Neurospora crassa OR74A: one gene and its partners. The protein of the gene in region 2 interacts with the protein of the main gene of each other region in a pairwise test. Links are inferred from orthologs where the notes say so. Each region holds a gene or a part of one and is shown on either strand. Other genes may lie near its edges.

Region 1 (4,933 bases), about 1.9 Mb from region 2:
TACAAAGCCTATAGAAAACCACTTGACTCTTTTTTTCTGTACACTCCTCTCCTCTCGTGTACCGTGACAAATATTGGAAACAAACAAGAAACGAAAAGGAAAAAGAACAAGAAAAACGCCACGCAAAATGCTGCTACTGAAAGGTGTAGTGTAAACCCAAGATGGAACTTTTCTGACCCTCCAAAACATAACAGTGAAGTCAAACATGAAAACCGGAGATGAGAGGCGTTTTTTGCTAACCGATGCGTGACTTGTATGGCGGCCGCAACAGTAAACGGCAGTTTATCGGGAATCGGACACAGGGCTCCGCCATCAGACCTTTCCAAGGCTTGGATCGGATGCCGTGTGTCCCCACAACGTCAAGCCGAGGACGCTGGGTATATTAAGCTTCACGTGGACTGCGACCCGGGACAACGCAAGGTCGTTTGTCGATCTTGGCCATGTCCAACTGCTTATCAAATGCGCCTTCGTCCTACAACATGACGTCTTCGTTGATGTTGGGCAGGTTTTGCTGGAAAGCGATGAGCGCAGCTGGGTTGGACATCATGGTCGAGATCAAATTCTGGTGCTGGGCTCTCATTTCAGGGTCGCACATGGGGGAATGTTGCTTGTGCTATCATTGAAACTGTGTAAGCATCACTGTGTATGTGACAATGACCTGAAGGTAAATATCGACTTACGTATTTGAGACCATTCAAGTTCTTGTAGCGCTTTCCGCAAACGTCGCATTTGAAGGGCTTCTCCTTCTCCATACCCAGGGTACCAGGGTAAGGCGTGCTCGTTTCTGGATTGACGATCGAGAAGGTGCCGTCGCCGTTCTCATGCAATTGCTGGGTCGAATGTCCATGGGTCTTGTGGTACCTGGTTCGATTGTTAGTGGGACTTGGGGAAGGAATGCAGTTGGGAAAAGTATGGGGTTAATTGGCGTTGGTGGCCGACCAAAGAAAATTTCTGCAAAGGGCAAACAAATCGCACTTCAAAGGAGAAACACGTCGGGGTAAAAACTTACTTCAGACCATTCTGGTTCTTGTATGCCTTCTCGCATCCAATGACGGGACAGCGGAAAGGCTTGTGTTCTTCTGTCGGCGGCATCATGAGCGCAGTCATCTGCTGCAGAAGCAGAGCAGGGTCTGTACCAGGAGCAAGCTGATTCAAATCGAGATTCATCGACGCCAGGTGCTGCTGCAACTGCTGCTGCATCTGCATTTGGGCATCGAACGCTCGTTGCTGGCTCGTCATCTGGGTCGTACCACCAGGGCTATACAGCCTCTTTGCAGGATCATCAATCGTTCCCAAAGCCCCGAAAGCCAAGTTTCCCGCCAGTCCTCCGAGCTGGCCGCCGTTCAGATTCACACCGCCGATGTTCATCTTCATAGGCATTCCGGACATGTCATCACCATTGTCATCTTCCTGACCAAACTGTCCCCGCTGAGGTAGGCCTCCTTGTGTTGTCAGGGTTGGCGTGTTGACTGACGAAACGGTCGGGTTGTTCTGGAAACCAAAGCTGACAGCAGCAGGAGTTGGGGGTTGAGAAGTGCGCAAAGCCTGGTGCGGAAGCCCAGAGCTGTTCAGGTGTAGTTGAGAACGCTGCTGCTGCCCAAACAATTGCCGAGTCTGCTGGATTGTCCGCTGATTATCGTCCATCTCCATAGGTCCCACGGTCTCGTCAAGCTCCATCTCTCCGACAGTATCCATATCATCGTTCATGTGTGACATGGAGGACATTTTTGACACAGCTGGAGCTACTTGTTGCTGTCGCATCATCTGTCCGATACCGCCAAGGCCCATTCCTGCGCCAGCAACACTCAAATGACGCTGACCTTGATATCCATTCATCGCCTGGGCTCCTGGCTGAGCTCTACTCGCTGCAGGAGTTGGAGTGGCACGACTGGCGGTCCCGCGTGCGTTCCCTTGATTGGTGCCAAAGGTATTGAGATTCTGGTTGGAGGTGTTGGGTGCTGCGGTGGCGTGGTGGTTCTCCTCGTAATGTTGAAGGAGATCATGGAGAGTCGGCCACGTCCTGTCGCAGCAGGTGAAATCGCGCATGAAGTTGGCCTCGAGTTTGGGAATATACGACGAAGAATGGAACGAGGGAGACTGGTGCGTTAAATAGGGTGAAGTGCCTGTCATCATCATACTAACAACATCAACAGGTCAGCTTCGGTGTTAACAACCGACGGACAGTCCTCGGCGGCGATCCAGCTCCAGGATACCCAAGAACTCTGCTCCCGACTAACGCCAAGGACACAAACAAGCACCCCCAAGTGCAGGGAACAGCGGCAACAACTTACTCTTCGCGAATAAAGCTTCCAACAGAAATGCCGCCCCAGCTCATACCGTTACCCATAAGACTCCCCGCCATAAGGCTGCCTGCTCTGAGACTGCCAGCCATACTTTCGCGACGGATGCGGTTGACGTGGTCGCGATTAGGGTTTGCCATGGAGATGGGTTTTGCGCCAGTGCCTAGGAAGGATTCCTGTCGACTGCGGCTCAAGGCCGAGTCGAAATGTTGACCGGCAGTCATGTCGACGTCAGGGTCGAAACCAAGGTCGGCGAGGCAAGGGCCTTGGTCCCAGTTGATATCGAGATCGTCGAGATCGTGGGTTGGGAAAGTGATGGGATTGCGGTCAGCCGGTGAGATGGATGCAGTGGACCGATGATGGGAGACCGCAATGTCAATGGGTTTCGAGGCAGTGAGTGGCGAAAGATCGGATCGAGGAAAGACGGAGTCACGGGGGGTCAGCGGTTGGGGTGTCGGGGACGGCGACGGCGAGGATGGGTGAAGAAGGGAAGAGGGTGAATCGGTTGTTGAGTCGGAAGGCGATGGGTTCCTGAACGCTGCGGAAACAGAGGAAGGCGATGCGCGATAACTATTATTTCCACCGGCCCCAACGGAGGGCCCCGCAGGCTCGGGACTGTTACTGGGGCTGGAGGTGGTTTTGGAACTAAACCACTTCAGGGAGCGCTTCATGGCTGGAGGCACTAGCAGCGACCGAATGTGGATAACAGTGCTGGGCCTCGGATGTCGAGGGGGGTGAGTGGGCGGTAGGGATGGCGTCGTACAGTGAGAGTACTGGGTGCGCTAGACTAGGCCGCAACCTGGTTACGGCGTAATAGCAGGGGTGCGTGAAGCCGTGCCTTGTACCGTGTGATGATTATTAGTGAAAGAAGGATGGCAAAGTGATGCTGCCAATCAATGAAGGAAAAGTCGACACTCGCATGCGAGTTGTCCCGAGAAACAAGCGAAAACCAGAAGAGAGAACCGGGTTGAAGTGGTGGTGGGAAAAGGTATTAGAGAAGCCGGAAGGTGGTCGAGCGAATGGTGATTCTTCACCCATGGACGGTGAAGGGATCTTGGGGCTCTTTTTCCAACGTTGAACCTGACCCTTGACCAGGACGGACCTCGAAGGTGCAGTGGTGTGGTGGGATCTGACAAGCGAGGTTGCCCCGCCCGTTGCAGCGGTCGCCGTTCCGCTTGGAAGGCCAACACGGTAACACAACTGACGTTCCAGGGGTGCGGTGCCCTGTGGGTAGGTAGCCTGGGGGGCGGAGGATGTGCGTGATGCTACACTACACAACCTCGGGCTACTAAGTGGCTCGTCGAGGATGCGCCAAAGTTTCCAACTCCCTCGTTGCTGGTTCGTTGTGACCGTGTCGTACGTCTCGGTCAATGGCGTTGACCACTTGCGAACAAATCAGGCCGACTTGCGTCGCGGCGTTCCTGCACTCCTACACCACCGAGTTGGGGAATCGACGCTGAGCGGAATGTGGTGGTGGATTCGCGGTCCGAAATAGTTCGAATGATATGACCGTCGCTCTCAGGGATGGAAACAAAGCCCCCAGTTTTTTTCTTGTTTTTCTTCTTACTATTTAGTTGAATAGTTAGTATACCGGTAGGCAGAGGACGATTGGGTTTCGCGTGAGAGTAGAGCGTATATCGTTGAGTCCGTATTGGGTATCGATTTCAAGAAATGGGAGGTACTGGGGCGACGGAACAATGACTCTGATGCGCATCACAAGTCGGCCGCCGCACTCTTCACCTCGGGCAGCTTCCCCTCGGTTTAACACGATAGGACAACCTACAGAAGTAGCACGACACAGAAATCTTTGCTACAACGTATTATCCAAGAGCCCAACTCCCGACACAAAAAAGAAAGAAAAAGAATAAAACTATAGTCGACAAGAATAGTTGTACATCGGTAAGTACCGTAGTGGTTTTCGTCTGACGAGTGCCGTAGTAGTAGATGTGGTCGAAAGCAGGCAGCGAGGAGGGGAGAGGGGTCGCACAGCTAAACAGCTTGTTGTTATAAGAGCACGTACCGTCGCTTTCATGTAAGCCCCATGTAGCAGATGCCGTGCTGGTGTTTTTGATATAAAGTCAATTGGTTTCCAGTAACCGGTTGTAAAGGTCGTCGTATATCGAGGTTAAGATACGCACAGATATCCTGCAAGGTATGGGGAAGAAGCAGCCATCAAATAAGTGCGTTCCAGTCCGATAACCTGAGTCCTTCACGACACCTTCCAACCACAAACAACAAGCGGGTAGCAGGAAGGGGAAGGTATCTGATCGCTCCTGCCCCGAAACCACCTCTCCTTCTCCCCGAACCTAACACGGCATATGATGTGCCTCATATTTGCCTGTCTCCTTAGGTTGTCCACCTCATGACGGCAAGGCGGGTGCGCGCAAGGCAAGCAAACGAGATGCGGTACCTGCTCTGGTTGCCACCATGTCTGGGGCTTACAACATCAAGACGTAAGGTTACATACTTCTTCCGGTACATAGTCTCGACAGTCTCTTCGGTACAAGCAAGTATACGTAAACGAATCGAGGATCCAATTGTCCTCGAAGCCCGCTTTTCTCGATGTCTGGGGGTGCCGGCCATTACGCTATAGTAGCGCACCGAATCAGCGTGCTTTCACATGGATAGTAGGG
Region 2 (4,742 bases):
GAAGACGCAGCCGTCGACGCCCCGCCCTCGAAGCTCTCGAGTTAGAGGAAGAAGATGCCGAGAGACGTGTACGTCGTCGCCTTAGTGATGAGAACGGAGAAGAGCATCAAGCGCAAGCGCAGCCAAACACCGAGCCGCAGACTGAGGCAGGCCGTGGCGGCTTGCCTACTGGAGGAGTCGAAGAAGACGCCGAGATTGGAAGAAGAGATGGCTCAGCACTGCCCGACATTCCCTCCGACGCTCCCTGGAACCGACCCTCTTCCCTGGTCCCAGGCTCATCGGTGAAAGGCGACAATCACCACCCCGGATCCAGCCGCCAAGTGAGCGCCAGTCCCCTCCACAGCCGCGGCAGCCGCTTGGCCCACCTTCCCCCCATTGATCGCTTCAGCGACGCAGGATCCTACGCGCCCTTCTTGCACTCTGGCGGCGCCCCTGGTTTCTCATCCGACCCCATAATGCCACCTGGAGAGGATGAACCGCAGCTTCCGCATTTGCCTGGCGGTCCTCAGGGTGGCCGTGACCTCTTGCGCTGTACTCCTTCCGGCGAAGCTGAAATGACTGCTACCCAGGCTGCGGCCGAAACCTCCCAAGTAATGCGCGACGCTCTAGATCGCGACGGCCACAACTTCCTGGCTTACGTCAATATGGTAGCCAAAGCCAGAGGGGAGACGCGGTCCCTCGGCGGCGGCGGTGCTCCACCCTCTTCTTCCCATGCCCACGGAGACGGAAACGACAGACTTCTCAGACAGTGGGTTGCCTTTGACGAGCTGTTGGATGAACCTAGAGACAGAACCCGACAGGTGGCGACTCAGGCTTTCTACAACGTCTTGGTCCTCGCGACCAAAGACGCAATCAAGGTGGAGCAGGACATGGAGGGCTTCCAGCCGTTTGGCGAAATTCGCGTGGGCGTTGAGGTGTCGGAGGCTGAGATGCTGGCTCTGATGGAGGAGGATGGTGACGAGTGAAGTGGCTGATGCGGAGAGTTTTGCAAAGAATGCACACTTATCGGTGCAATCGGTGCGAGTCTTGCGGTTCTTTTCTTTATTATTATTTCTCGGTTCGGGTTGTCGGGTGGGTAAATGGGAAACGGGATGCTGTGCTCCCCTACACTGTGGGATCATGATTGAGTAAAGGGCCAGATGAGATACCATTTTGATTGGTTTGCTAAGCAATCATGCCTCTGACAAAAGCCATCTGGCGCATGCGGAAGATAGGATCACAGTTTCTGCGGAGGACATAGGGAGCTGATCTTCGGAGAAGTATAGGAAGGGGACAACGGACTTCAGGCAAACGGCAACTTTGCAACACGCTGGGGCTCACTTTGACAGAAGATTTGGCGACTGAGGAATTCACAACAAATCAGCTACCAGATAGCAGTGAGATGGATTGGCAATCGAATAATAGAAGTAAATTGAGATTAATCTTTTTCAAGTATGTTACGGAGTGTGCGGAGGGCGGTGCATAAGACAGTAAAGAGACCAGCCCTTACCATGGTCGTCACCAAGAATCATTCATAATCATCATCATCCACGGGTTCACGATCAGTGAAGACCATGTACTCTGCATCATCAACTGCGCCGCCAACGACCTTCTTCCACGCCTCACGGACATGATTCAGCGATGCATCGTCCATCAAGAGGGAAAGAGATGGGCCTGGCAGATCAAGAATCAACCCATCAAGTCGACTTTGCTTGACACCAGCAGCCTGTTCATAGTATAACTGATACAAGCACTGGGGGACTCGATCAGGGTCCACAGCGGAAAGCAAGGATTCAAGAGAGCGACTCAAGATCTCCTTGGAGTTAGGAGTCACCATTGTGGACAAGTATAAGACACCTGTTGGTTTCCAGTCAGCCATTTGCGCGTAACAAGTTATGAATGATGCGGAAGGGTTGAACGGATGAGAGTACGATCAGAATGTCAGAGGTATTTATCGTCAACGCCGAAGCTTGGACAATGTAGATAAGTATTCAAGATGTGGATCATCATAGTACTCGAAATGGGTAAATTGAAGGGAGCAAGGAAATAGATAAAACTTACTCTGACCATTGGGACATTCGCCAGTGCCGCTCGAGTGAGCGAAAACATAGACTGGGTCAGTGTTTGCTTCGCCAGGTGTTGTTAGTGAACCCGGAGGCAGAGCGACGACCGCAACGCAGGGAGTCGGCGCCCCGTCGACGGTAGACTCAAACAAGGTCTTGAGCGGAGAATCAACAACGGCCACTAGCCTGCTGATGCTCGGCTCGTCACCAACGCTTTCGTCTCCACGCACGAGCAACTTGGTTTTCACCTTGTCGCCGCTGGTCAACTCGAGCTCGATCTCGTCAGTAGCAGTCTCCATTGACTTGATACCAGCGCCAAGCATGTAGACAGCACCACCGACCGCACCGGCTCTACAGGCGACCTGGGCAATCTCGGAGATACCGCCCCATTTGGGATAGAGAGCAGCAAAGCCGGGGCCAAAGTGACCCATAGAGGTAAGATGGCGATGGACGATGAACAATCCATCCTCGGTAGTGATGCGGCCATCCAGCGAAAGCGTGAGGGTGATGATGTAGGTCTTGAGCTCGGTATCCATCTTGAAGTGCTCCTGTAAGAAGTCCACCAAGGGTTTATCGGCAAAAGGCTTCCAGGCATCTCTCTGCTCCGGACTGTCGTAGTCCAGCACAAACCGTAGAAACTTCATCAGTCCGCGCTTCGCCTTGGCCGATATAGCAGTAGTTGAAAAGACATCTTCGCGGGTGGAAGGAATGCGGACAAGGCTGGGTTGCTGTTCAGGGCCGACAGGTGCTTTGAAAATGTAGAACGATCCGACGGCGAGGAATTCCACCTGCCGGTACGCCCGGGAAGAAACCAATTGAGATAGCAGCTCCGAGCGGGCGTGGATCAACTGCGGTGCCAGTGCCAGCGAGTACGCTCTGGGGAAGGAGAGACCCACGACATCCGGCTTGGTGATAGACGCGGACCTGAAGAGGCCTTTGTCCTCGGTGGCCAGACGGTCAACCCAGGACTCAGCTTCTTGCAGGCTGAAAGCCGCTTCCGCCCCGCCATAGTAGTCGTTGGGGTCTATGTGCAAAATGTTCTTGCCCGATCGCGAGAGGGATCTTCAAGGCGGAGAACAGCTATGTCAGTCGGTCAGTTAGACAGGAGAACGATGAAAGTCGGATGAAGAAGAGCGAAAGAAAAGTTTGCTTACAGTGCAAGCAGAGACTGCTGCAGTCCGGTGCCGCAGATGACGACATCCCAAAGGGTATCGCCGATAGATCCCATCGCCATGACTAGGGACTCTGTGGTTCGCGGAACTGCCAGTCTGTTGGGAAGTAATAACTTGGGAAAAAGAACGAGGGTTGCAGCGGCAATTTTGAAATGAAGTTAAAGTTTGGTGCTTGCGGAGCCGGCAGTTCCTCGGACCGGTGTGGCTTTTTGAATCGGCCCCGCCCAAGCTTTCGTTTTTGTGGGTTTCTGTTGTTCGTCCCCCGCCTGACAAACGGGCAGACGCACGGGCCACTGGCGAAGCTTCGAAGTGGTCAAAACTCGACGTCCATCCACCCCAAATTTTCCTTTTTCTCTCATCAACCACTCAACGAAGAGACGCGGTTGCTGCTGCTGCTCTGCAGCCCAACAGTATCGCGGGAGTCTTGGGGGGCCTTTCATTAGGTTTCTCCGAAGTTGAGTGGCAGATTGATGCCACAAACAGCCCTTCTGTATCTCCTGCCTTAGAATCACCACATGTGAGGGCGGGTCGAACGATCGGCACATTTTTGCAACCATGCTATAAAAATTGCAAATGTCTTGACTGCTTTGCCAGCTCAACTCCGCGATGCCCAGAAGTTGTAGATGACTTTCCGACTCAGAAGCTCACACCTTTGCGGTTTTTATGCGCAGCGATGTTGTTAGCCGTCAAGTTATCTTGCATCATATCATGATGGCTTTGTGCGATCATCATCATTGATCACTATGTTGTACAGAGTCGTAACGGCTGAATTCGAAGCTGAACAGAGCGCTTTTGTTGTAGGATGTTCCAAGTGGGTATCCATTTACATCGCATTGCTCCTCGAGTACAAACAGGACAAGACAGGACAAGATGGTTTTGAATGGCACAGTCGCCCATCTCTCTCCGTAGAATTGGTGGTGTTTTATCCTCCTCCGGCCGCAACCAGGGTGCATCCAACATATGGGTATCTTCTTCGTACTCTCTGTCTCTCTGTCCATTGGCATGACCAAGCCGAGGTTCTCCGTCGAGATAATATTGACTCCTGATAGATCATGACTTCATGCCCATAGTCGGTGTTTGAAACCCCAGAGATCCTATGACTGCATCTAGACAAGGCCCATCATCCATCTATCTTGTCGCCGATCAACGTCCTCCACATCCGCCCCGAGAGGATCGCCCATTTTCCGCCTGTAGGCCGGCAGCCAGCCATCAAACTCCCCATCCGTGAAAGAAAACTCAAACTCGTAGTCGCAGCTCCTTCATTACACCTACTTCGTGTTACGAAGGGGTCTAAATATGATTACTGTTAGTGATCATGCATGTGGGAGGAATGACCGCCTCATGTGTCAAAGCGTGAGATAAGAGATAGAACATACCCGCAACCTAGAGGAGTTGTCACGCCAAAGAAGCAGTCACCTGCATTCTTGGGTACAACTTGCTCAGGCTTGATGGGTGTGATGACTACACCGGCGCTGACGAGGGAGGCGCAAAGCGAGAGAAGGGCGGCGGCGAGGGTGACGGGCTTCAT
Region 3 (4,477 bases), on a different chromosome or scaffold from region 2:
CTTCTTAGCCGCCAACCCAACCAGCGCCGGCGTGACGAAATCCAACCCGTGCAGCGGCGCCAAGCTCCTCATAAGCTGTTCAAAATGCTTGGTCGCCTGAGGCGTGATGCCACCGCTAACAGCCCGGTGCATGCGCAAAAAGGCGACAATGTTCATTTGGTAGCGGCGGACGTCGATATCCACGCATACATTGAGCGAGAGTTGGGCGAGGTGGGCGATTTCGGAATCGGAGAGAAGTGGCGGTTCGAGACCTTCGGTTGGACCGACGGCTGTGGGATCGTTGCTGTGGAAGGTGAGTTGGGGGGAGAGGGATACTCCAGCTCCTCCCAAGCGACCTGGACCGAGACCAGGTCCGCTAAGGGCAGAGTGATAGGATTCGTTGATTAAACCACTGTTTGCCATGCTTCCCACGCCCCTCTTGACAACGCTGCTTCCCGAGTCGGTCGAAACTTGGTCATCATCGGTCTTGGCGTAAGGGCTGTCGTCACCAGCTTCGTCGTCGTTGTCATTGTTGTTGTTCGCAACACCCAACTTTCCCAGATGCCCGCCGAAGCCACCTGCACCGGCCCATCCTTCTTCCGCTTGTTCCTCGAGGTAGGCGAAACCATCTTCCGGGTCGTGCCAGTGCGCAAGGTAGAGGAAGTCGTTCAGGTGGTGAGTGACTCGCGCCTGTCCGCCGCTTTCTGCGCCGACTACGGCCACGAAGAGGAACTGCTTCGGAGCAGTCTGGACGCTCGTTCGAGTGAAGAGGCGGCGCGCGCGCAGGAGTTCGAGGGCTTGGATTTGCACGGCGCGCGGGGCATGGTCGAGGTTTTGGGCGAGGACGACGTTGGCTATTTGCGTTGCCGGTGGTTGTTGTTGTTGTTGCTGCTGTGATGGTGGTGGCGGGTGGGCGGAAGAAGATGAGCCGGGAACATTTTGTTTCGAGGAAAAGTATGAACCCGAGCCGGAAGGTACAGAGCGGTGGGAGTGGTGGTGTTGGGGGTTGTTGCTGTTGTTGGGCAGTGGTGAGCTTGGTGGAGTGACGGGGACTAAGAGTGCTGCTGCGAAATCATCGAGTGTCATCTGCGAGTGACATGGGACGATGACGGGCGTGAGGCCAAAGGTTTTGACGGCGGTCAGACATAGCTCTTTCGATAGGTCCTCGACAAAGTCGGGTTCGGTGCTGATCAGGCAGTGTTCCCGTGCGATGAGGGAGAGAAGGACGGCGAGCTCGAGATCGCTCAGGCTGTGTATTTTGTCCTGGAGTTCGGCTTGTTGTCGTTCCTTGATATCATCCTCCATTTCCAGTGCCGTTATTATGCCGAAGCATGAGGATCATATCCATGGACAGGAGTAGACGAGTCTCTTAGGTAGTGTAAGAGCAAGAAGAACTGGATGCCGATATTGCGGTCCTTCACGCCGGCGCTTTTTTCTTGTCACCGGGATTGGGCCATGCTTGGTGGATGGAAATCTCGAGATGGTCCGTCACTTTCCACAGTCGCCCGATCGGCAGGATGTTGTTAGGTTTTTATGTCTGTAAATTGTAGAGATAGTTATTCCTGTGAAGCGTACGAGTACATCAAGGGTGTGACAAAACTGAATTGAATGGAAGAAATGTGAGTCGGTCGCAATCTGTCGATCCTTTCTGCCCCTGGGACTGTTCCGCTGAGGAATGGGAGGATGACATGGCTGATGAAGAATGAATGAATGATCAATCGACACTTAATCCTTGGCGTTGGGCATGGTGCAGTGGGCCACAGGTTCCTCTTTGCGGGCCACCTGTCGTACATGTCGGGTGTTTCAGCTCGGACCAGGCCGACTTTGGGCGCTGGCGGGTGACTTCATTGGCTCCAGGGATGCACTGGCGAGACTGGACCAGTGGTGCGTGCCTGCCTGACGGCGCGCCAAAGGCGTCGAGGGCGTGTTAGCGCTGCGACCACCTCCGTCACTAGGTGGTTGTGTCGCAGAGCCGTCGCTCCTCCAACAGCGCAGCATTCAGTGACCAGCCCCAGTTCAACAAGTTCCCGCCGCCCCAACGTCCAGGTCGGTCACGTCGGTCGGTTAGGTCACCACTTATCGAAAACCAACCTACCTTACCTACCGCTTGGCCTTGTTTAGACTGAGTGCCGAATCTAGCAGCCTGCTACGACCTACACTAAACCCAACATTTGTTGCGCCCGCCGTCCTCCTCACACTCTTACGACTCCCATCTTTCTCGACTACCATCACTGGTGGACTGTTGTTCTTGACGATTGCCCGGAAGCACGCCAGCACGAGCAACTCCACCTCGTCCCGTTTCTACGTCTTATCAAACAACTTATCTAATTCCATACCGCCCGCCATGTCTTCGAGGAAGAAGGTTCTTCTCAAGGTGCGAGTCGGCCGCCAAATCGGACCATCTAGACAGCAACAGCTAACAATGACTCCCAATGGCAGGTTATCATCTTGGGCGACAGCGGTGTCGGAAAGACCAGTTTGATGAACCAATATGTATGCCAGCGTCGAGCCCGTTGTCACCATGCATTATGATACAAAGAGGACGTCATCTGACCCCCGCTCTTTTGGCGCAAAACAGGTCAACAAGAAGTTCAGTGCTAGCTACAAGGCCACTATCGGAGCCGATTTCTTGACCCGGGAGGTTCTGGTGGACGACCGCCAAGTAACCATGCAGGTGCGTGCGCCAAATACCCTACTTTGAGCTGGTTGGACGACGTGCTAATACGTAAGGTTCTCGACGGGCAGCTGTGGGACACAGCCGGACAAGAGAGGTTCCAGTCGCTGGGCGTTGCCTTCTACCGCGGTGCCGACTGCTGTGTTCTAGTATACGATGTCAACAACTCCAAGAGCTTCGATGCGCTCGACAGCTGGAGAGACGAGTTCCTTATCCAAGCATCTCCGCGAGACCCGGATAACTTCCCGTTCGTCGTGCTGGGTAACAAGATCGATATGGAAGAGAGCAAGAGGGTGGTATGTTTTCTGTTCGATGGGCCTTGTCGTATGTTGGAGATCATCATTTACTGACCTTGTGGCGCAGATTTCGACCAAGAGGGCCATGACCTTTTGTCAATCCAAGGGCAACATTCCGTATTTCGAGACCAGTGCAAAGGAGGCTATCAACGTCGAGCAGGCCTTTGAGGTTATCGCCAGAAACGCGCTCATGCAGGAAGAGTCGGAGGAGTTCAGCGGAGATTTCCAGGATCCCATCAACATTCACATCGAGAACGACCGGGATGGATGCGCGTGCTAAGGGCGAAGGAGCTCCATCAAGCTTCTAGTCCTCCTTTTGGGTTTATGAGGGAGTTTGGTTTTTCATGTCTTCATTTGTATGATATCACGCTGGGTATGACAGGAATGCGGTTTTGATCTTGGCTTGCAGAGACGGTGCTTAATGACCAGTGAGTTTGGAACGGGGGGAGTCAATGGGGTGCGCAAGAGTGAACGTGAACGGTGACGAGCAATGATAGATATGCACTGGTGTAGATGGGAGTATGGAATAATCATGGTCTTGGTGCCAGAGGTTTTCATCTCGACTGTCTTTCCTCTCCGAGTTTCCATAGCTGAGCATCTGGTAATTAGTCTAGGACCTGTGCAGCGGTCTTTCTGACTGTATCCAATGTGCTCTTCACCATGTCATCACATTTTGTAACAAGTGGTCGCAAGTCAACGACAACCCAGAGCTGTTGTATTATGGCACGACAATCTGGAACAACACCGAAAAGATTACTGCCTGCCTACTACCAGCGATAGCAGGTACCCGCCAGCTCCTTTCAGATAAGCGACCTATGTGGGAAATGCGTCTCCGCAGCTAATGTTTGGATGAGAGGTACCTACGTACATGCCTACATAATCACCTGCAGATGCATAACCTTTTCTTCACATTTTCAACTGCAACTAACGTTTGCCTTTTCAGCTCCTTCACCTCTTCACATCTCCAGGATGGAGAGTTTCATCATTGAGCCGATGACAAAACCACCGGCGACAGTAGCGCATTGGCGTGATGTCTCAGTGGTTGAAGATGAGTGGTAAAACAAAGCAACGGACACCGTACCTACTTCAACGGCCTATGGACTTTTTTTGTTGACTGAGAATAGCAAACAGATTGGACCCATCAAGTATTCGCGTCAGGGGCTGGATGGTATCACAGGGACTCCCATGGCGCCTCCGCAACTCTACTCGACTTTGAGATTTTGCGATTCCACTTCCCCGGAGTGGCAAACAACGACAAACCCACCTCCCGGGCCCCCTACCGCTCGTGGATCAGCATTTTCATAAGCGGTGTCGGGTTGGAGCGTCGTGGCCACCAGGGGGAGAAGGGCTCCAAAGGGGAACGAAATGTAAACATGCCCCTCTTGCTCCTTTTCATCCTGTTTCTCAGTATCTCGGGATGACGCGCGTCTCGTCGTTTCTGGCGCTCTGATCTCTGAAGCAGCTGATCTAGCCTCTCTGTTAGCGATTCTCAATAAGACTGGTAGGCTGTCTTTAACAGCCCCAGTAA

The links. The genes of interacting proteins can lie anywhere in the genome.
Region 1: the proteins of NCU03191 (region 2) and NCU02621 interact in binary tests that used the Saccharomyces cerevisiae proteins (3 or more experiments, as listed by UniProt). The link is inferred for Neurospora crassa OR74A from reciprocal best matches to the Saccharomyces cerevisiae genes MRS6 and SFP1.
Region 3: the proteins of NCU03191 (region 2) and NCU03711 interact in a protein complementation assay, tested with the Saccharomyces cerevisiae proteins (3 studies listed by BioGRID, with this or other methods). The link is inferred for Neurospora crassa OR74A from reciprocal best matches to the Saccharomyces cerevisiae genes MRS6 and YPT7.

Annotation. Positions count from the first base shown.
Region 1 is NC_026501.1:2,943,607-2,948,539, forward strand, and holds the start of NCU02621 (C2H2 transcription factor), read right to left. Parts: upstream 3,128-4,933; 5' UTR 2,972-3,127; coding exon 2,292-2,971; intron 2,138-2,291; coding exon 1,010-2,137; intron 862-1,009; coding exon 681-861; intron 614-680; coding exon 473-613; 3' UTR 1-472. UniProt on the Saccharomyces cerevisiae protein: Transcription factor that regulates ribosomal protein (RP) and ribosome biogenesis (Ribi) gene expression in response to nutrients and stress. Promotes RP gene expression under optimal growth conditions.
Region 2 is NC_026501.1:4,857,517-4,862,258, forward strand, and holds NCU03191 (rab protein geranylgeranyltransferase component A), read right to left. Parts: upstream 3,277-4,742; coding exon 3,197-3,276; intron 3,105-3,196; coding exon 2,041-3,104; intron 1,837-2,040; coding exon 1,508-1,836; 3' UTR 1,490-1,507; intron 1,341-1,489; 3' UTR 1,071-1,340; downstream 1-1,070. Other genes in the region: NCU03190 (Rec8), read left to right, coding at 1-965; NCU03192 (hypothetical protein), read right to left, coding at 4,483-4,504, 4,591-4,742. UniProt on the Saccharomyces cerevisiae protein: Substrate-binding subunit (component A) of the Rab geranylgeranyltransferase (GGTase) complex. Binds unprenylated Rab proteins and presents the substrate peptide to the catalytic component B.
Region 3 is NC_026505.1:2,172,158-2,176,634, reverse strand, and holds NCU03711 (GTP-binding protein ypt7), read left to right. Parts: upstream 1-1,882; 5' UTR 1,883-2,323; coding exon 2,324-2,353; intron 2,354-2,418; coding exon 2,419-2,472; intron 2,473-2,557; coding exon 2,558-2,653; intron 2,654-2,724; coding exon 2,725-2,949; intron 2,950-3,016; coding exon 3,017-3,229; 3' UTR 3,230-3,650; downstream 3,651-4,477. Other genes in the region: NCU03712 (hypothetical protein), read right to left, coding at 1-1,284. UniProt on the Saccharomyces cerevisiae protein: Ypt/Rab-type GTPases are key regulators of membrane trafficking and intracellular vesicular transport.